Rattus norvegicus: one gene and its partner. The protein of the gene in region 2 binds, or shares a complex with, the protein of the main gene of each other region. Links are inferred from orthologs where the notes say so. Each region holds a gene or a part of one and is shown on either strand. Other genes may lie near its edges.

Region 1 (9,932 bases), about 100 Mb from region 2:
CTTGGGGCGGAGAGTCCGGGCGCTGAGCTAGACGTAAGTGTTGTCTGCGACTGCGCCAAGGCGGAGACTCTTCTTCTGGTCAGGGTCATCATCATCATCGCTCCCCTCACTTCCCGAGGCACTGGCGCTGTCCACGTCGGCGGTGGGTTCGTTGAGAACCACCACATCAGCCTCTGCCCCGATGTCCTTGCCGAACCACACAGCCTTGTAGCCGCCCTCCCCCTCCGGCCGCCGCTCCTTAGTCAGGATAGACCTCACGGCTGAAGGACTGTCCCCTGCCTGGACTGTCTTGGGAGACCCGGAAGCTTTGGGCTGAGGGCTAGGAGGCATGGAGCTGGGGGGCGTGGGACTGGAAGACATGGGACTAGGAGGCCGGAGGGGCGGCTGGACAGGCTCAGGGCCCGGCTCTGGCTTCCGGTTGGAGGTGGGTGACCACTTGGCCTTGTTGTCTGGGAGGAAGGTCAGGTTGTCATAGCCACTTGGCTGTGGCTCCTAAGGGTGGAGTAAGGACAAAGGCATCAGCAGCAATGATATGACTCCCACAAGTGCCTTCTGAACCCTTCTCCCACGGCTTGGCTCCCACTCTTCCCCTGAACCCCACCCCTACCACTTGGTGTCAGAACACCCATCCTGGCCTACCTCTGATTCTTTCCCTCATAAAGCCCTGTTTTCCCCAGCTGTTCCCACTCATCCCTCCATGTCCCTTTTCTGTGACTCCTCAGCCCTATTAGTCTGCTTTCTACTTTACCTCACCCAGTACCCAACCAGAGACCCTTACCTTTGCCTTGCCAGAGCAGCAAGTGAACCGATGTCGGTAGTGCTTATGGATGAGGATGATCAAGAAGATGAGGGCCAGCAACAGCAGTGCCCCTAGCACCCCGCCCAACACTGCCATGTCCACCGTGGAAAATCTCTGGCCATCACCCAGCTCGCCTACTCCTGGTATCCAAGAGACCATGGCCACTTACCGTAGGAACACTCCTAAGAACTTCCCTTCCCACCCTGGGCCAGGCTGAGGTACCATAAGAACAAGACGGGCCTCTCCTGGCCCACCATCTAGACTTGAGGTTCTGAGAATGGGTGCTATTACCTCCAGCAGGGAGCCTGCCTGGGGGATACCACAGCCCCTGGTAACATGACCACCGACCTCTGATTCACCAGGATGGCCTCCAAGGGCACACTGCAAACAGTTATGGTGACCTCTGACTTATGTGCCATCAACCACAATTTTGAATACACATTGTACTTAGACCAGAGCAGGGCTCAGTGACACTTGCAGAAGTTAGTCATGGAGAGCTGCCTCTGGTGATCACTTCCATGGGACAGCTAGCTGTGCCTGGCCCCTTGTCACCCTGTACACTCCGAGGTTCAGTGGGTACAGCTGAGTGACCAGTTAAAGACCTTTCGGTAGGAACCTCTTGTGTGTGCGTGTGTTAAGTTTATTTATGTGTGTATTTGTGTCGGTGCTGCATGTCATGGTGCATGTCGTGGTCAGAGGAAAACTTGCAGAAGCCAGTTTTCTGCATTTGTAGGACCCAGGGATCTGACTCAGGTTGTCGGACAAGTCGCTGAGCCATCTTGCCAGTCCGCGTCTTACTCTGTAAGTCAGGGTCTCTCGCTGGCCTGCAGCTGGCCTTGTAGCTGGCTAAGCCGCCTGGCCAGCAATCCCCAGGGTTTTCTGTCTCTGATTTCCCAACACATCCCAATGCTCAGCTGCATAAGGTGGCTTCTGGGGACCAAATTTACGTCCTCGTGCTTGGAAGGCAAATACTTTACCAAGTATGTCATCTCCCCAGCCCTGGATTTTTTGTTTTTGTTTTTGTTTTAGCAGAATTGCCTCAGTATGTTGCCCAGGCTAGCCCTGAATTCCTAGGCTTAAGTGGTCCTCCTGCCTAAGTGTCTCCAGTATCACAGGCATGTATCAATACATCCAGCCATAAATTTTTAAGACATATTCTCTCTCTCTCTCTCTCTCTCTCTCTCTCTCTCTCTCTCTCTCTCTCTCTCTCTCTCTCTGTAGCTGGGTGAAATTCTGTAGACCTGGCTAGACCAGACTTAAACTCACAGAGGTGTGCCTTTCACTACCTCCCTAATGCTGGGATTAAAGGGATTTGTTAGCACACTCTGACAGCCATAACATTCATTTTTTTTTATCTTGTTTCTCCCTACTTATTGGAATAGTGCCCTTACCTAACCTAAGACCCTAAATACAGATTGTCCTGGGAATTATGGGACTCACTGGCTTTAAAATCTGCTTCTGTATCCCTGTACCTTCTTCAGTTCACCTATTATGACCTCTTGGTGCCCTCTGTCTAGAGCTAGACACAGACTCCATAGTCAGTGTGGTCAGGCCAGACTAGCCCGGGTGGACCCTTTTCTAGAGCACATCCTAGAACCCCTGTCTGAGTTAAGGGTGACAGTGACTCCAGAGCAACGTGTTAGACTACCTGATATGGGCCCAGTGGTTGTCGGCTGAGAGGTTCCTGGCTTGGGGGTCTGTGTTGAGCCACTAGGTGTGGCTGGCTGAGAAGAGGTGCTGGCCCCTGGAGTGGGGACCATTGGCTGAGAGGTTCCTGGCCTGGGGGTCTGGGTTGAGCTGCCACTAGGTGTGGCTGGCTGAGAAGAGGTGCTAGCCCCTGGAGTGGGGACCATTGGCTGAGAGGTTCCTGGTTTGGGGGTCTGGGTTGAGCTGCCACTAGGTGTGGCTGGCTGAGAAGAGGTGCTAGCCCCTGGAGTGGGGACCATTGGCTGAGAGGTACCTGGTTTGGGGGTCTGTGTTGCATCCCCACCAGGAGTAGCTGTCTGGGGAGAGGTGCTGATTCCAAGAGTAGGGGACCCCCCAGGTACAGTTGGGGCAGAGGTGAGTGGGCTTAGAGTTGTGCCTGCAGGTGGGAATGGGCCAGCACTTCCCCCAGAGCTGGTTGTGGCAGGTCCTTGAGAGGTCCCAGAGGTCGAGGGGGTTTCCAAAGTGGTGTTACTTGAAGGCCCAGTTGTTCCTCCAGCTTCTGGGGGTGTGGGGGACTCTGGTGGTGGCATGTACAGAACTCGGGTTTGCCTCTGTCCCCAGATATGCCTGTCCCAGAGGAGGAGCCACCCTGCCTGGGGATCTGGGGGTGCTCACCTGTGGAGGGCGGCTCTCGCTCTGACACCTGGATCTCCACAATAGTGGTGGCTATGTCTTTAGTCACAGTATTGTTAGCTTCTACCTGGGTCAGGAAAGGGACTTGTTCTCTTGGGTCCCTTTTTACCCCCACACCTTACTCCCCTTATCCCCACTCCACCTCTATGCGGATTGTTCTTTCTGTCTCCATAGGCACAGTGGTCAGCAAGATATCCTTATTCATGATGAATTCTGAGGAGTTGGTGACTTGATATGTGACAGCCGAGTTGAGGTCCTAGATGAGACTCCAGTGAGACCTAGGCCTGGTACTCTATAGTCCATCCCAAGTAGTCTACACAGAGAGAGGAGGCCAGAGGGTCCAGGTATACTTATAGGGTTCGTAGGTAAACAGGAAGGGACTGCATACCGGGAAGCCTAGGTACTGAGCCTGGATCCTCAGGATCTCTGAAGGGAAGGTCTTGTCCTTCACTGCTGTGCCAGCCTCAGAACCCAGTACCACCGTGCCAAAGTACAGGCTCTGAGAGAACTGGAGTGGGTTCCCAGTGACATCTCGAGCCTCCACAACGGCCTGAGTCACTGAGTATCGAGCCATGTCAGCCTGCTCAGCCTGAGGAGTCAGGGGAAGCGGGAGTGGGTATTGGGATTTAAGGCAGCTGGGGCCACAGCTGGGGCCACAGGGGACCCCTCTCTCATCCAGTGCTGGTACCCACCCTGACCACCAGGGTGAAGGTCATGGGGCTGGGGATACTTTTGGCCATCGTGAGGTTGCCATCGTCTTTGTTGATGATAAATGTGTCATCCGTGTTTCCTGGGAGAATTCGTGGTGGAGTTTGGTGTCTGGTCCCTCTGTTGTGGGGTCCAGGTGCTGTGGGGCTAAGCCGTTACTCACCCATCATAATGCTGTAGACGATAGGCTGGTTAATGGCCTGATCTCCGTCCACAGCATAGATGGGACCAGGACTCAAGATGAGAGGGGATGGCTGTAAGAATAGGAACATCTTGAGGTTTAAGAGCCCCAGCTCTTACTCTCTTGTTGTCCCTCAAGATCTGAAACATGGATTGGAGCCTGGAGGGAGGAGCAGTGCCTGCTTGGGACAGAGCTGCAGCCACAGCAGGACTCAGTGGCAACAAGAAGCTAAGAAGGAAATGTTGTAGCCCCAGTGTATGCCGCCTGCCCAGGGACACCACTGGCCTCAGGAGACTCAGCTGACCAAGGACTTAGCAGATCCTTATCAGCATCAGCCCAGCCCCTGAGCTCCTCACATCCCAGCCGACATGTACTCCTCACTGATTTTTGTCTGTATGCCCCACCCCCACCTGGCTGGGAAGGATACTTAATGATTGATTGGTGATTAATTGATTGATTAATTGTTCATTCAGGTTTGTTTCACAAATCACAGAATTGTCCACAAGCCTCTCCAGGAGTGCAGGACGGCGGCCAGATCCCTACCCTGAATATTTTCTGACTTGGCCTTAGATTCAAGTCTGACCCTGGGCCTCCTCACTTCCCATTACCAGTTTGTGTCCTGTGGGGATAACTGTGTGGTACTGGGCCTGAATGCAGAAGTAGTCATCCGTAAAGGAGCACGGCAGGAACCAGGGGGTCCGTAGGTCAGCTGGCAGCACGTTCAAGACCACGGTGGCAGTGGCCGTATGGCTGGGAATTACATTCTCTTCCCTAGTATCCTGTAGTAACAGCCAGCCCCTGATAGGTTAGGCCCAGCGTGGACAGGGCCTACAACATCCAGGACTCAGGAAGATGTGATCTGCCTACCCGTGCCAGCAGCCTGAAGGTCATGTTCGGACTCTTGTAGTAATCCAGAGTCTGGTCCAACTTCAGAGCAGGGGAGTTTATGCCCACCAGGGAGAAGAACTTGCTGGCATTCTGTGGGAAGGGAAGAAGGTTGGACTCTGGAAGGTGGATGAACTGAGGCCTGGAGGCATCAGAAAGGGTGGGGGTTGTCAGCAATGTGTGGGGATGGGGAAGCACTGACGGGGGTCACTTCCTGCAGAGTGTAGACTAGGATGTCATCTTTGTCAGCATCTGTAGCCTTCAGCTCTGTCTCAGGGATGACGATCGTATTCACTCTGGTGTCCTGGGGATGGAGAGGAAGAGGTTGGTCCAGCCATGCTGTAGCTTCTGTATATAGATCTCCCTGATGTTGTCTCCCAGAGACCCCTGTGTCCCCCTGCCTTCCCCATACTCAGACAGCACTGGTTCAGACTGGACTCACCTCCGATACATTATATTCCTTGATTGTAAAGGGGAATTCTGGTGCATTGTCATTGATGTCCAGGACAGCCACAAACACCCTGAACTGTGTCACCTGCAGCAAAGTCACCAGGGTCAGCCCCTGGCTGAGGAGAATGCTCTGATGCCCCCCATCATTCATTCCTTCCTCTTCTTATCTGTTCATTCATTCATTCATCCATTCAGTTAGTCAGTCATTCTTTGTCTTTCATTCCACAGACACTGGTGGCATCAACAATGTGATGGCCTAGGAGCTCCTGTTCTAGGAGGAATGCACTCAAACTGTAAAGACAAGTTTTAGAGTGTGGCCACGTGCATGTGGTGGGTGCGCTGAAGAGAGAGAATGACAATCCTGGGGGCACAACCAGCAAAATATCAAAGGGAGAAAAACAGCATCTCACGACTTCAAAAACAGGTCTCCAAAAGGATAGTGGGAAAAGGGCCTTCAGGTCGAAAGCAAACAGCTCATTCCCATGACAGCCCTTCCTGAGACCCAGGGAGACATGAACACAGCCAGGTGCTGGAGGACAGAGACGGAAAGCTGCTCTTCTCAGCTGTGACAGATGTCAAGGCCAGGGCTCTCTCTGTGCCTCTCTGTCTCTCTGTGTCTCTGTCTCTTTCTCTGTCTCTCTGTCTCTCTCTGTCTGTGTCTTTCTGTTTCTGTCTCTGTCTCTCTCTGTCTCTTGTGTGTCTGTGTGTCTGTGTGGGAAGTATATTTGTGTGTTGAAGGTGGAGCACAGGGCTTCAATCATACTAGGCAGGTATTTGTCCTGGCTGGTTTTGTGTGTCAACCTCACACAAGCTGGAGTTATCACAGAGAAAGGAGCCTCAGTTGAGGAAACGCCTCCATGAGATCCAGCTGTAAGGCATTTTCTCAACTAGTGATCAAGAGGGGAGGGCCCAGCCCATTGTGGATGGTGTTGTCCCTGGGATAGTGGTCCTGGGTTCTATAAGAAAGCAACCCAATGGGGCTGGAGGGATGGCTCAGTGGTTAAGAGCGCTGACTGCTCTTCCAGAGATCCTGAGTTCAATTCCCAGCAACCACATGGTGGCTCACAACCATCTGTAATGGGATCTGATGCCCTCTCTCTTCTGGTGTGTCTGAAGACAGCTACAGTGTACTCATACATAATAAATAAATAAATCTTAAGAAAAAAAAGAAAGCCAGTAACTAATATCCCTCCATGGCCTCTGCATCAGCTCCTTCTTCCTGACCTACTTGAGTTCCTGTCCTGACTTCCTTTGGTGATGAACAGCAATGTGGAAGTGTAAGCTGAATAACCCTTTCCTCACCAACTTGCTTCTTGGTCATAATATTGGTGCAGGAATAGAAACCCTGATTAAGACAGAAGTCTAACACTAAACTTTACCCAAAAAAGAATTTCGTTTTGTTTTTAATTATTATGATCTATTAGAGACATAGGCCAAGATGTGTGTGGGTAACATGTCGTGGTGCCCGGCAGGAGTGCAGGGTGTGAGAGTTGCTCACAGTGAAGCAGGAAGTGTGTGGGGCCTGTTACTTCTTCTAGTGTCCTTTAGTAAAAGGCTATTGATGGAGGATAAGATGTATGGGATAGGGTAGGGGACAGTATAAAGTAGGAGGGTTAGGCATCAAAATGAATTTGCACACCAGGTCAGTGTCTGCATACCACAGCCTTGCCCACCCACTTGTGCATTTGACTTTGACTTCCAGTAAGAAAATGTGGAAGTTTCTGTGAGGCTGCATGGGGTTGTGGCTATGAGCTTTCGGGATTCCCTGTGTAGAGAGGGAATAGAGGAGGGCCAAGGACAAGAACAGCAAGTGGATGTGCAAGAAGGGTCAGAAAGGAGAGCCACTGGCCAGGGCCCCATGGGACGGACTAGAGGTAGGAAGAGTAAATCCGACTCTAACTGAGGTACAGTCAACCGTGCCAACAGTGTTCCTTGGATGGGGTGACATCAGAAGTGGCTGGCAGGTGAAGGTGTCTCCCAGGTGAGGGGTGAGGGGCCTACTTAGGGTCTCAAGGTACTGACTTAATACTGGGCTCTACGTTAGCTGAGTTTGAGTCTGGAGCTCAGGGCAGAATCTAGGCTAAAAGAATCATGGAAGTGGCTAGGAGAGAGTTGATGTTCAGACTCCCTGGGGGTAAGGTCTTGGAGGAGTGGTCTTGGGGTACTCTGACAAAAGGCCCAGGTGGTCAGGTAATGGGGTTAACTTACCAAAGTATCTCCTCTCTTACACTCCAGGACTGCCTCCAGCAAAGAGTTTTCCTGAGGATAAAGCCAGGGGCCCTATGAGTCACTTGCCACATAGGGAACTATCCTCCTATAGGATAGGAGAGTACAGCTAGGAGAGCAGGGAGCGCTCCAGCGCCCCAGTCATCTGTGGGAAATCCTGGGTATAGGGGACATTTGGCAACTTTGTCCCCTTATGGCCCTACCCCTCAGTACCAACCAACCAACCAACCAACCATCTAACCAACCACTGGGCCTGAAAGGGCTCCTCACTGCCAGGAGCATATAGATCCCTTCAGTCCCTCTTTCCCTGAATCTTTCCCAGGTTAGGGGAGTGGATGCCCATTTGTGTCCCCATGAAGGCATATTCTATTCGGTCTACAGTCTGTACCTCATAATCTGGAGTCACGATGAGAAACAGCTTATTGCCCTCAACCTTAAAGGCATTAGGGGTGGACAACTGTCCCAAGGTCACATACTGGTCTTCTGGGACAAAAATGTCCGCCAGTGGCCCAGAAACAGTGGTGTTCTCGTTCATTGTAAACACGGTCTGGTTCGCAGAGCAGACTAGAAAGTTGCAAAGGAGAAGTTGGTTCCTCCCAGCCCAGCTCTGCCACCCACCCATCCTGCCCATGTTCAGTACCTACCCTGAGCCTGGGCCAAGGTCCCTGGAAGGTGGCCAAACAGCACCGTGAGCAATGGCAACAGCAGGGGAGGCCACAGGAGGGCCGGAGCCCCCATGGTGGCAGCTGTCACCTGGAAGAAGGGTCCGGCCGGCTTGGTTCCAGGGCTGGTACAATTCCTGCTCCAGGGCTGGTACAATTCCTGCCTTGGCGACCTTCGCCCCTGCCAGGCACCGCCTCATTTTATGATCCTTTACAGATGGCCTCTACCAAGGGGGATCCCGCTGGCCGGCCGGCACTAACAGGGGACATGAGGTCATATTGCAGCTTGGACTTCCAGGAAGTTAGCTGAGGACTCAACTTACAGGCACCACACATAAGGTGTAAAAAATCTTGAGAACCAGGAGTGGAGAATAGGCGTGGGAAGCCAGGGCAAGGCTCTGGAGCCATAGACCTAAGGAGGCTGAGTCAGGGTTGGGGGCTGAAGCAGGACTCGGGGATGGAGCCATAGGTCTGGGGAGCTGGGGCAGGGCTGGGGAACTGGGAGCAAGAACAGGGATGCGGGCTGAGCCATTGGTCTTGGGTCCACTGTGACCCTCATCTCCTCTCTTTCTCTTCAATGTTTATTTTAGAAAATCACTGGAGCTCTGTTATGTTACCTGCCTTCCCTCTTCCACTCCCAAAGGACAAGGCTGTGTCCCAGTCAGCTGCTCCTGCTGTCTGAGAAACACAGCAGTGCCCCCAGGGTAGGGCCTGGCAGAGCCTTGGTGGGTGGTAAGATGCAAATAGAACCTTTCAACCACTGGAGGAGCTGGGGTTTGGGGAGCCAGTATCTGATGGAAGACAAGAATCCCAGAGGACACAACCCAGCCCTCCATTAGACCTGCTTCCTCCTCTCTTGCTTCCTCTCCTCTGCCCTACAAGCTCTCAGAGATGAGAGGAAGCCCCTAAGTGGGGCCAGGAGAATGGTAGGGGGTGTTCTGTTGAAAGGGCCTACATAGCCCTCCCTCATTACTCTGGGTCTTTTGCTTTAGATGTCTGAAAACCTTCCCAAAGCTCCAGGCCTCTCTCTGTCAGAACTGGGCACTGTCTCACCACAGCCGCCCACTGAGAGATGACATCACCGGCCAGGCCTCATGGCTGGGCCATGACCACATAGGATGAACTCAGGTCCTCCCACTCCTGCCTGAGCCTCCTCCTCACCACTTCATTTACCCTGACCACATGGCTAGGCCAGGGTGGGGATCCTTGATCCCTGGAGATTTTGCTAAATGAACCACAGGGCAGGGTTGGACTCTAGGGAATTCAGCTAGGAAAAGAGGGGTTCAGCTGATGTCAGAGATAAAAAATGCCCTAGCTGGCTTTCCAGGTTCAAAGGGCAACAACTGGGTGTGGTCCTAGTCACTGAATGAGATGGATGGATCCGTCCAAGCCTGCCAGGTTCACGGAGCAGAGACTGCCTTGATTTTATCAGATATCACACACCATGAGCTAAAAGACCAGGGTCTAAATTCCTTCTTTATTGATGCCAAGGACAACCAATCCCTACTCCAGTCAGGCTCCTGGAGACTCCCCTTCCTCCCTCATCTGGGCTGCCTGGTTGTTTCAGTCCACTCTGAATGGTCGACAGCAGGCCTTGGTCCAGGAGGCAGCCAGAGAGACAGGGACCCATCCAGGGACAGCCTGGGCAGAAGCCTGTGGAGGGAGATAGCTGGTGAGGGGG
Region 2 (10,479 bases):
TCCAGCCCCAAGTTCTAGGTACCTAGCCTTGGAAGAAACCATGCCTGGCCTTGGAGTAACATTAGTACCTAATGCTCAGAGCCGTGGCAGGGCTCAGAATGCAGAACGTCAGCTCTGATTATTATCGCTACAAATTTACAGCCACTGGCTGACGGAGCTGAAGAAGACTACGGAGAGGTTTAATACCACTTCTCCACAGAGGTCTTCCATTAGAGACCACTAGGAAGTCACCAGCCAGCGCTGGCTAGGAAAATGCTATATGGGAAGATGCAGCACCTGTCAGTGTGTGACCCCCATCCCTCTCCCTTCCCGGCACTTACCTCTAACCCCACCTCTGCAGACAGGGAACCAGGTTTCACGTTGCTGACGAAGATGCCAGGCTTCTGGATGGGGCCACTGGAAATGCTGTGGGAGGCAGAGATGTGCGTAAGGGTCTGCCCTTGCAGCGTGTTCCCTGAAGCTCTCTCTCTGTTCATTCTCAATGACCAGTCTGTAGCCCTCTGTCTAAATGGCCAGACCTCAGGATATAGGTCACCCATAAACTCAAGGCTGGAGGCCCTCTGCCTCTACCCTCCCTTCCAGTCCGATTTCCACTGCTGCTCTAGGCAGAAACTCCTTGTCATTTCATCTCCTCAGCCTCTCATCCAACATACCACACATGCTTTTTGTTTGCTTTCCAGAATTTTCCTGTTCATTCCTTAAAAGATTTTTCACCAGACCCCAATTAAACTAATTGCCCCAAGGTTACTAGTGCTTCTAAATTATAAATAGCAAGGATGGCTCTTGTGCTGTTATTTCCTCTCCCGGGGCTGTGGCAGACATCAACAATCAATCACAGCACTCTTTCCCACCCAGCTGGGTACCAACTTAGAACCTTTCACAGAAGATTACTCCAGGATCCCACTGTTAACTGATGAGAGGTAGGAAACGTATTTACCACCCCTGAGGGAGGGTGTAGCTCCACAGCATCTTTATCACACAACATTGTAACTGTCTGTGGGGTTAACATCTATATTAGGCAACACTGTAACTATCTGTGCGGCTAATCCTATGTTAGATTGCCATCTCCCAGAAAAAAGGGAGAGTTAAAATTTTACTTTTTTTTTTTGTTGTTGTTGTTGTTTTTTTATCTCATTTAGTTCAGACTAGGATCAAACACTATGTAGGTGAGGTTACTTAACTTTGGGTGCCTGGTCTTCCTGCCTCCATTTTTCAAGTGCTAGATTTACAGGCGTGCACCAGCACGCTCTGTCCATATAGTGCTAATGGCCTTGGTGTATGTTTGTCAAGCACTGAGCCAGCTAAGCTATATCCTCACACCCAAGGACAGACATTAAAAGCCATTTATGGAGACAGACGCGGTGGTCCACACCTTTAATTCTCAGCACTTGGAATGTAAAGTCCAGCAGATCTCTGTGAGTTTGAGGCCAGCCAGGGCTGCACAGTAAGGCCCTGTCTCAAAAGCAAATCAAATCAAATCAAAGCAAAACAAAACAATTTCTGGGGATGGAAAGATGGCTTATCAGTTAAGAGCAATTGATACTCATGAAGAGAAGTCCAGTGTTTGGTTCCCAGCACCCATATTGGGCAGCCCACAACCACCTGTAACTCCAGAGGATCCAGCGCCCTCTATTGGCCCCAGTGAGCACCCACAATCAAGTGCATACACACACACACAGACACACACACACACATAAAAATTTTAAAATTAAAAAATATATTGTAAAAAGTGTTAGATAAATGCAAATAAATAAGAACAACTTAATTAATAATAACTAAAATTTATCAGCTGCTTACTACTTGCTGGGTCTAGAACATGCAATGCTGTTTTTTGTTTTTTGTTTTTTCTTTCAATAACAGCACTGTGACTTACTATTATGCCTCCTGCGTATTTGTAGAGGAAGAGACTGGGGCTCAGAGTGGCCTGAGGCTCAGTCACTGCCCCAGGTCTGAGGGCTGACACATGGTCTGGTGGGGGTGGAACAGGTATCCCAGCAACTGTAGCACCTGCATCTCAACCACTACACACAGCCCGAAGCGCCTATGCGCGGTTGTTCATTGCTTTATTTTATGAGTCAGGGTCTAGCGACCCAAGGCTAGCCTCAGAGCTCTCTGATGGTGCTAGTTATGGGCTTTGCTGGCCCCTCTTATGGGAAGGTTTCCAGAACCACTGGTGACAAGAGAACTATGGCAGATGCCTAGTATTTTTGAATGATGAAAGGGAGTGGAGTTCTATCTCTGGCTCTCAAATTCTGCATCATCATCAGTGCACAAGACCCATAGCCAGTGGACAAGAATCCTCAGGAGCAGTGGCGAGGAAAGGGAGAGAAAGTGCTGGGGAGCCCGAGGTCCACAGGATGTCACTGAGTCCAGGGCATGCCACCCACCTAAAGCCTGGTGATTGAGCCAAGCATGCCTGCTACCTACCTGCAGCCCAGGCCCCGAGAACCTACTAGACTGATAAACACCTTCTTCTCCTTGGTTGTTCGATTGCCAGGTGAGCTCAAGCCACCTCGAACACCCTGAGGGAGGGACAGGATCAGGTTACTGGGTTTACATGCATTCAAGTGGCCTTTTGAGCTTGAGACCTCCAGATTAAGTACCGGACATTCACAGAGACTGGAGACACCATATCCTTGGGGTGTGGGTCTGAAGGCCTACCATGCCATGGGGGGTGTGCCAGGTACCCTAGCGGCCTATGGGAAATCCTAGGTTATACTCCCCAGAGCCATCCCTCCTCCAAGGCCAGCTGCCCAACCCCTATGGCAGGTTGGCAGGTAGTCTCTTACTCCAGATTCCGACACGAACTGATCCACATACTGCCACTTGAGGGGCTCCTCGGGGGAGCTGAGGAGAAAGCAACGGAGAAGGTGGAGCCAGTAAGCACACTTGAGGGAGCTGGGATCTGTGTCACTTGGCCACCTCAGCCCAAGAGCAATGCTAGTTCATGGCCTGGGGGCGGGGCAGACCGCAGGACTCTTGGCCTGCAGGAGACTCACAGATAGGCCTGCTTACCTCTTCACAGGGATCAGGCCGATGTCTGTGGGGAAGATACAGTAGGTTAGATAAGCTCCTAGGCCCTTGGGGTTGGGACCACCTCCCATCTACCCCCCATCACAAAGTGCCACTCCTATCTGGCCTCACTCACGTCTCACTTTGATGGACACAGTCTTCTTGGTGCGGATCAGGTTGATGACTTCCTCGTGGGTGCAGGAGGAGATGGAATAGCCGTTGATCCGGACAATCTCGTCCCCTACCTGGACACAGAGAGATGTGACAGGCATGGGGGAGAGTGCCAAGCGGGGGGGCAGGCCCACTAGCAGATGTTCCCAACCCCAGAAGGGGCTGTCACCAAGCAAGAGCTTTAATCTGTGCTCTAGCACGGTGTCGCAGCCGAACTACCCTCTGGTAGTGGAAGGCCACAGTTTTCAGTTTCAGGATGGAGAAAGCAAGATCTGGGCTGGGGAGAAGCATGCAGTTGGTGAGAAACAGAACTGAGGCAAGATTTAGAACTCTGTCCCCATCTCTTGGTACCTCGGTCACCCCACCGAGGGGCAATCAGGTTCTGGAATCCAACATCCCCATCTGGTCTTCGCTCCTCCCTGTCCTAGAAGCAGGCCTTTGTCTCTATCTGTTACCTACACCCGCGGTGAGCCAAAATGGGGACCCATGACCCTTGACCCAAGCTCACAGCACTAACATAAGAGTAATCCCATCCCATGGAAACTCAATGACGTTAAACCAACTTCTGAATCTTGATTCTGGGAGCAGGCAAAGGAAAGGGAACGAACACAGGGCGCTATGCTTTGGTTCTCCCAGGCTCGAATCCTTTTAAAATTCCTATTATTTTACGGCAGGAGTCAAGTCTCTTGGATTCTGTAAACCGTAGTTTCTTTCATATAAAACAGGGAATACCATGGAGTTAATGAGGGTTAAACAAACATATGTGTAAGTGTGTAAGGCCAGCCAGTACGGGGCCCACAGCAGGTTCTTAATAAACAGTTGTTATTATTAGAGGCCTTCAAAGAGGCAGCGCATGATGAGACTGCCCCCTGCTGGTCCTCACTGCTACCTCCACCAAAAAGTCAAAGGATCCTTGGCTATCAACATCTCCTGAGAGAAGACCGGGTGCTGAGGTAGGAATGGGCAAGAGACAGGATAGGGATGTGAGACAATGGTGTATTGCCCAAGGACATGAAGGCAGTGGCTGCCACGAGGGAAACGAGCTCAGGTGTCATGCAGGCTGAGGTTGTGACTCCCTGATACCCCATTACTGGTCTCTTGGAGAAAGGTTGGTATACGTGGGGGCCTCAGGGTAGACTCTGAGGGCACACGGTCTCCAGGTCAGTTCCCAGCCTATAATCTACAGTTACCTCTCATTACCACCAGGAAAGGGCGTGCCACTCTGAACGGCCACCTTCTCAGTGTCCCGATAGTGGGGCTCACTAAAGAACCTGCAGCAATCCTGGGGACACCGACTTTCAATAGAACATCTGGATAGCTCCCTGCACCTAATTTTTTACAACTCCAAAGGGCAGGAACTCGTGTTCCTGCTCTGCATAGAACCCGCCAAAAGGTCTTTATGTGGGACCACAGTGAAGAGACAGGGGATCAGGGAGGCGAAGTGATTTGTTCAAAGCCACTCAGTGAGTGAGGAGGCTGCTGGGATGTCGTCAGGACTCCAGGACAGACAACACACGTCGGCTTTCAGGTGTCTGGGAAAGGAGGCTAGGTGGCCAAGCCTGGGTGCAGTTCCTTGCGTGTTGCCTGCTGTGGAGTCCTGCCTTTTGTTCAGAGCCCTGGAGTCCCACAGAAGGCAGGGATTACTCTGTACGTCTTACAGCAGGGAGAGGGAAGGCAGGCAGAACCATTTTCTCCATAAGTAAACAGCCAGTTACATGCTTACATCAGTAAAGGACACAGTTAAACATAAGGAAGGTATGAAGAATCCTTAAGTATCCAGGAAGGGACAGGAGCCGTGTGGCTGAAGTCCCAGGACTAGGACCTGTTGGAGGGTTCAAGCCCCTGCAGGGCCCCCTGCGTCTCAGGGCAAATCCCTCTTGACTTCTAGAATCTTCTCTGTGCTGTCCCCCAGCACGAGAAACTTGATGGCTTGGTCAGTGGATGAAGGTGATTTTCTCCTAGCTCCTCCTGAGTGGAGTTCCCTGTATTGCTACCACAGGAACTTCCCAGGGACCCTAGTCGGAGTGATTCCCCCATGGCCCCTGGATAGGGTTGCAGGATCAACTTCCCTCTACTCCTTGCTCTACACAGAACCCTGCAAAAGAGTCTTTGTATGGAGCTCATAGTAACATGACAATCTGAGGGACAAAGAAAAGATGGGCCCCACAGCCCCGGAAAGGGGAGCGCTATTTCATAAGCCTGAGAAGCAGGTGGGAAGTTGGATGCCTGGGTTTCCTGAGCGTGCCCTGATGCCCTCCTTCATGAGGCTCTGCAGGGAAGCGCTTGTCCTCAGAGGAGTGCTTGTGCTGGAAAAAAGGGGGGCCCAGCCGTCCCTAAAGGGGGAACTCATTATGTTCTCTCCTCTGGCCGTGTTTCTGGGCTGGAAAATGTGCCACGGAGGGAAAGAACAATGAGAGGGCTGAAATTTCAGATGCCACCCGGAGCCCTGAGACACGGATTGCGAACAAAGCCTTGACTGTCAGCTTGCTGTCCCCACCCCCTCCTCCTTGGTCTCGCACCATTAGCCCTAGAGCCCCCTGAAGCCCCTGGCTCGTCCCCCGGTGGGGATGTTGATAGCAAAATCTCTGGAACTTTCTCTACCTGGATAGACAAAAACAGCCTTTAGTCCTGGAGGCCTGCCTACCTCTGCTTAGACAGGGACGTGGGGAGGAACTGCAGGGGAGAAGCCTGGGGTGCTGACTTGGCTCCAGGAGACCCAAGTTCAAAGCCTGGCTCTGCTGCTCATTGGCCCCTGCCCTTCTGTGAACACTCTAGAGTGGGGCTGACTCGTGTGATGTGTACTGACTCGTTGGAGGTGGTCATCAGGTCCCCGCTCTGTATGGATCTGTCAGTCTCACAGCCCTGGTGTATCAAGAAGCTGTGGTGACTGTCTCATTTACACCCCTGCTTTTCCAACAGCCTGATACGGCTTTACAGAGGGGGGAAAGTGAGGTCCAAGGCCAGGAGTAGAATGGGATGGTCCAGAGGCAGTGTCTGTCTTCATAGACATCAGTGCATTAGACTAAAAGGTGGCCGTACCAAGCTGCGGGTGCCCGCCTTAACCCTGCTCCTCCTTCAGGAAGTAGGAGGTTTGGGGAGGGGCTCAGTAGCAGTATCAAGAAGCAGCAGTCAGGCTCTTGACTTGACTCAAGAAAGCAGGCAAGGGCCGGATAGAGATTAGTGGTGGAATGTTTATGTGTGAGGGTAGACACAGATACATAGACACACGGACACACTCAGTTTAGTGGTGGAGTGCTTGCCTGGTATGCATGAACACACACAAACACACACACACAACATACACACACACACAGAGAGAGAGAGAGAGAGAGAGAGAGAGCATTTTCTGTATTCTGAAGGATTCCAAACACTCCCTTCCTTCCTCAAAGGCTTAAGAAAATGTGTGTCCACATTGTAACACAGAGTGGATCAGGAGGAGACAGGGCATTTGAGGCCCTGGCCCCATTCTACTGGCTCTGTTGACTTACCTGCAGCCCAACGCTGTCTGCCTGGCCACCTTTGATGAGATGGGAGATGAAGAGCCCACAGCCAAATTCCAGGCCTCCACGCACGCTGAGGCCAAGGCCCTCTGGGTGCAGACGGTCCAAACGCACCTCCTTCAGTTTCCTGTTACAGTCATGGGGGGGTTGGTTATGGTCCAGCTCAGGCTAACCCTGTGTTCCCAGGCTGGCCCCTCCCAGGCCTGGCCTCTGACTTGGGGACTGGATGCACCTGGAGCGTCGGGGTGTCAGCTGGTCATACTCCACCTGGTGCTTCAGTGGGATCAGGGGCCGGATGGCGTCGAAGAGTGGCAGGCGGTTGGGCTCATTGATGACCAGCTTCAGGTCTCCCACGAGCACAGCCACGTCCATGGTCCTTTAGAGATGTCAGAGGTTGGGTGAGTGGCTATGACCTTTGTCCCACCCCTGCACTGCTGGGCCTTAGCAGAGTTTATAAACAGGCACTGAAAATCTAAAGCAAGTTGGGTGACCAGAGACCAACAGATGTAGTGGCATGGGGACAGCTACTTCTTGTTCTCTCTGAATATTCATATCCTCTTGAACCTATCTGGGTAGCTGCCCTATCAGACTGGGAGCATCCCGAGGACACAGACCAGTCCTTCTTGCTCACAGTATACCCTGAACCCCAGTCCAGAGCCAAGTAGGAACTGTTCATGTAAACGCACACAGAAGATGCGAGCAAGTAAGAGCAGCTTATATGTGCGTCCTCAGGAGCACGGAGCACGTGCTGTCTTAGGACATTACCCACTCTGGGTTCCCATGGCACAGATGGCCTGCCTGGGCTTGGCGACGCAGACACACACTTACTGGTGATACATCCGCAGCACGTCATAAAGATAGTCCTTCTCCGCGTCATTTTCAATGAGAAAATCCACCTGGAAATTCCAAGGAGCAGAATTAGAGCTGCAGGTCCCCTGTGCACCCAGCATGCTCACATCCATGAATAACCCAGAAGCATCTTATCCCCAGACAAGGTGATAGAGGCACACACAGGTTGAACGCAGATGTGCACACATGGACCCCCGCTCAACAATGGCATACTCCCATGTCACTGCTGTCACACTCACGGCTGTGTCACCAGTGTCGGGACGAAGCCTACAGTCTCACCTGATGGTGGCTGTAGTGGCGGATAAATGCTTTGAGGAAGGATTTGGGCCACTCACTCAGATAACACATCCCACCTAGCAGAAGCACCTTATTGTCAAATCTCTCTGTGCTGCCCATGCACTTGGCCCTGTCCTGACCTGGGGTTCTGTCCACTATTCAGCCTCCAGGCCACTCCTCTATCCCCAGTGTCCCCCCCAGGGGGAGGATTAGGTTACAGCATTCTGGCTTTTGCTGACGTCAATAGCTAGGGCTCCAAGGTCATGTACAGGAGCTGTTTCAGTAGCACCTCTGTTCCTGGGGAGCTGGGGAGCTGGAGAGCTGGGGAGCTGGGCTGGGGAGCTGGGAGTCCCAAATTCTGTACTTCGGAAAGAAAGTTCAGGGCAACACTCCAAGGGCTGCATCCCTGGCTTTCTCTTTAGCCCAAGACTAGACATCAAGGCAAGGCAGGGCTCATTACCATTGTAGTCCCAGTCTCTGCCCTTCACAGGAGAAACTGTGATCTCCTGCCTTCCTAGAGCTTGGGGCAGGACGATGCCTTCTCAACCGGTGTCTTAAGGACTTTAGAAGACTCCAGAGAGTCTGTCTGCCCCAGTGTAGAGAGGACTGTGAGGCCTAGCCCTTGGGACTTTGGACCTGGGCAGATTCCCAGTTTCGATTTGGAAGTCTTCTTTCTCCTATGACTGCATTTGACTGAGGACAGGAGGAACCCAGAAGGTTGTGCCCCAGGCTGAGCTCCAAGGGTTCAAAGAGTGTGTGACAGTGACTGTGGAAGCTCCCCCAGCTGCACCCTCTGTCCTTACTGTGGAAGCTCCCAACAGCTAAGAGATGGGGAAAGGGCATCATAGATGGTGCTAAATCACTAGGACCAGCACCAGAAAAGCTTCATATATAAATCATGTCAGTTGCGTGCCTCATGGCTTCTTGATGCATGTAAAGATCCAAGCCAAGGGGTGGAGATGTAGCTCAGTGTCGGAGAGCTTAGCTGTCACTCAAGAGGCTCTAGGGTAACCGTCATCTTGGGGAAAAGAGTCCCACAAAACCCCTTCTCGATTCACTCAAGTCCTTGTCCTGGGCTGCCACTCTCCGGCTGTGTACACCCCTTTTAGCTTCTCGTATGAGCCAGACTGCCCACAGCCCCAGACTTAGGGTTACGCTGCATCCCCCTTTACTTGCACAGTGGCTTCTTTCCCATGGAAAGCTTCTCTAATAGCCAACCTACTCCCACCTCTGAGCAATACCTGATCTCCTGGGAAATTACTAATCGTTGTTAACGTAAGGGCCATAACCTTTTGGAATTTGTCTTAATGAAGGAAAGAAAGGTGCAGATCAGCTCCAGTCTGCAGTCCTCATGACTAACTGAGAGTAAATACTCAATAAATAAGTCTTGAGTGGATTTATCAGTTCTCTGCTTCTAGGCCTGGCCATGTTCTTCAGGAATGAGAGCCATGGGGTCAGAGGGGGATGGGAAATGACTCTCGCTCCGCTCCCAGGAGCTCCTAGTGACATTCGTTCAAAGCATCAGCCCCGTCTGACCCTTATTCTCATACCACAACCAGGGAGTATGGCAGAAGTGACCCAAGGCCACAGCCACCAAGCAGAGCAGAGCAAGATTCCAAGCCTACTTTCTCGCTGTTGTGCCACGTCTGGTAGGGCTTTGGCCTTCGAGACAAAGAACACCCAAGTCCCCTTTGGAACCTAACATCCAAGTCTCTAATCCTTACCTCTTTCCTCTCCACTGGTGTGCGTGCGTGTGTGTGTGTGTGCGTGTGCGTGTTATTAAGACAAGGCCTTACTATGTAGCCCTGGCTGTCCTGGAACTTAATGTTTCAGAAATCTGCCTGCCTCTGTTTTCTGGGTTCTGGGATTAAGTTGTGCACCACTATACCTAACTTTTTGCAGTTATGGAAGCTTGGTAAGGGGCAGGGGGTGAGCTCAGAGGTAAAGTGTTTCCCGGCATACATGAGACTCTAAGATTGATACCCAGGATGCCCACTCCCTACACACACACAGTTACCAATTCACTTGGTCCATAATGAGGAAGAAAGAGGAACATCTTTTAAGAGACGCTCAGAATCCTGGTGGTTCTGTTTCTGTTCTTCAGTGGAAGTATAACACCCTGTCTTTTAAGCTGAAGAGAACATTGTGTCTGATTCTAGCCATGGGTGGGGACTGGAGAAGGACAGGAGAGGGGCTGAGCTGTGGAGAATTGCACGCATCGGCTACGTGTTTAGGTTTAAGCAGAAAGAGGCTACCCTCACGGGTAACATTAATATGCACTGACTGAAGATTAGAATGTCAGGGGAGGAACCTGGAGAGGACTTGGCAACTTTAGGGTTCAGGAGTCTATCTTTCTGCCTTCTTAGAGTCAAGCACAGGCACCCTGAGATGGTCTTCCTAGAAAGCAGCCTTGTTCCTGGGGCCCGGGACTCAGGAACAGCTCTTAAATGTTGAATGCTGCATTCTGGGCCCCACCTATAAACCACACCCGACCTGTCCATTTCAGAGGGAGCCTGCAGGCCCAGTTCTGCATGGCCAGGAAGCTCACACCAACCCTACCCAGGCTTATCCACTTCTGCAGGGACATCTCCATGTCCTGCATATCCTCAGGCTATAACTAGACTAGCATTTCCCTGGACACAACAGACCCTTCCCTGATGATGCCACCTCC

Evidence for each region.
Region 1: Ush1c (region 2) and Cdhr5 share a complex: the UniProt entries of both Homo sapiens proteins name them as parts of the IMAC/intermicrovillar adhesion complex. The link is inferred for Rattus norvegicus from reciprocal best matches to the Homo sapiens genes USH1C and CDHR5.

The regions. Positions count from the first base shown.
Region 1 is NC_086019.1:205,802,727-205,812,658, forward strand, and holds the start of Cdhr5 (cadherin-related family member 5 precursor), read right to left. Parts: upstream 8,367-9,932; 5' UTR 8,328-8,366; coding exon 8,234-8,327; intron 8,154-8,233; coding exon 7,978-8,153; intron 7,623-7,977; coding exon 7,572-7,622; intron 5,449-7,571; coding exon 5,356-5,448; intron 5,218-5,355; coding exon 5,116-5,217; intron 5,007-5,115; coding exon 4,896-5,006; intron 4,808-4,895; coding exon 4,637-4,807; intron 4,102-4,636; coding exon 4,011-4,101; intron 3,930-4,010; coding exon 3,832-3,929; intron 3,729-3,831; coding exon 3,528-3,728; intron 3,396-3,527; coding exon 3,282-3,395; intron 3,207-3,281; coding exon 3,122-3,206; intron 3,024-3,121; coding exon 2,448-3,023; intron 940-2,447; coding exon 779-939; intron 493-778; coding exon 28-492; 3' UTR 1-27. Other genes in the region: Sct (secretin precursor), read right to left, coding at 9,793-9,904. UniProt on the Homo sapiens protein: Intermicrovillar adhesion molecule that forms, via its extracellular domain, calcium-dependent heterophilic complexes with CDHR2 on adjacent microvilli. Thereby, controls the packing of microvilli at the apical membrane of epithelial cells.
Region 2 is NC_086019.1:105,859,491-105,869,969, forward strand, and holds part of Ush1c (harmonin), read right to left. Parts: intron 7,580-10,479; coding exon 7,512-7,579; intron 7,060-7,511; coding exon 6,916-7,059; intron 6,811-6,915; coding exon 6,672-6,810; intron 3,258-6,671; coding exon 3,149-3,257; intron 3,041-3,148; coding exon 3,016-3,040; intron 2,848-3,015; coding exon 2,790-2,847; intron 2,523-2,789; coding exon 2,428-2,522; intron 406-2,427; coding exon 321-405; intron 1-320. UniProt on the Homo sapiens protein: Anchoring/scaffolding protein that is a part of the functional network formed by USH1C, USH1G, CDH23 and MYO7A that mediates mechanotransduction in cochlear hair cells. Required for normal development and maintenance of cochlear hair cell bundles.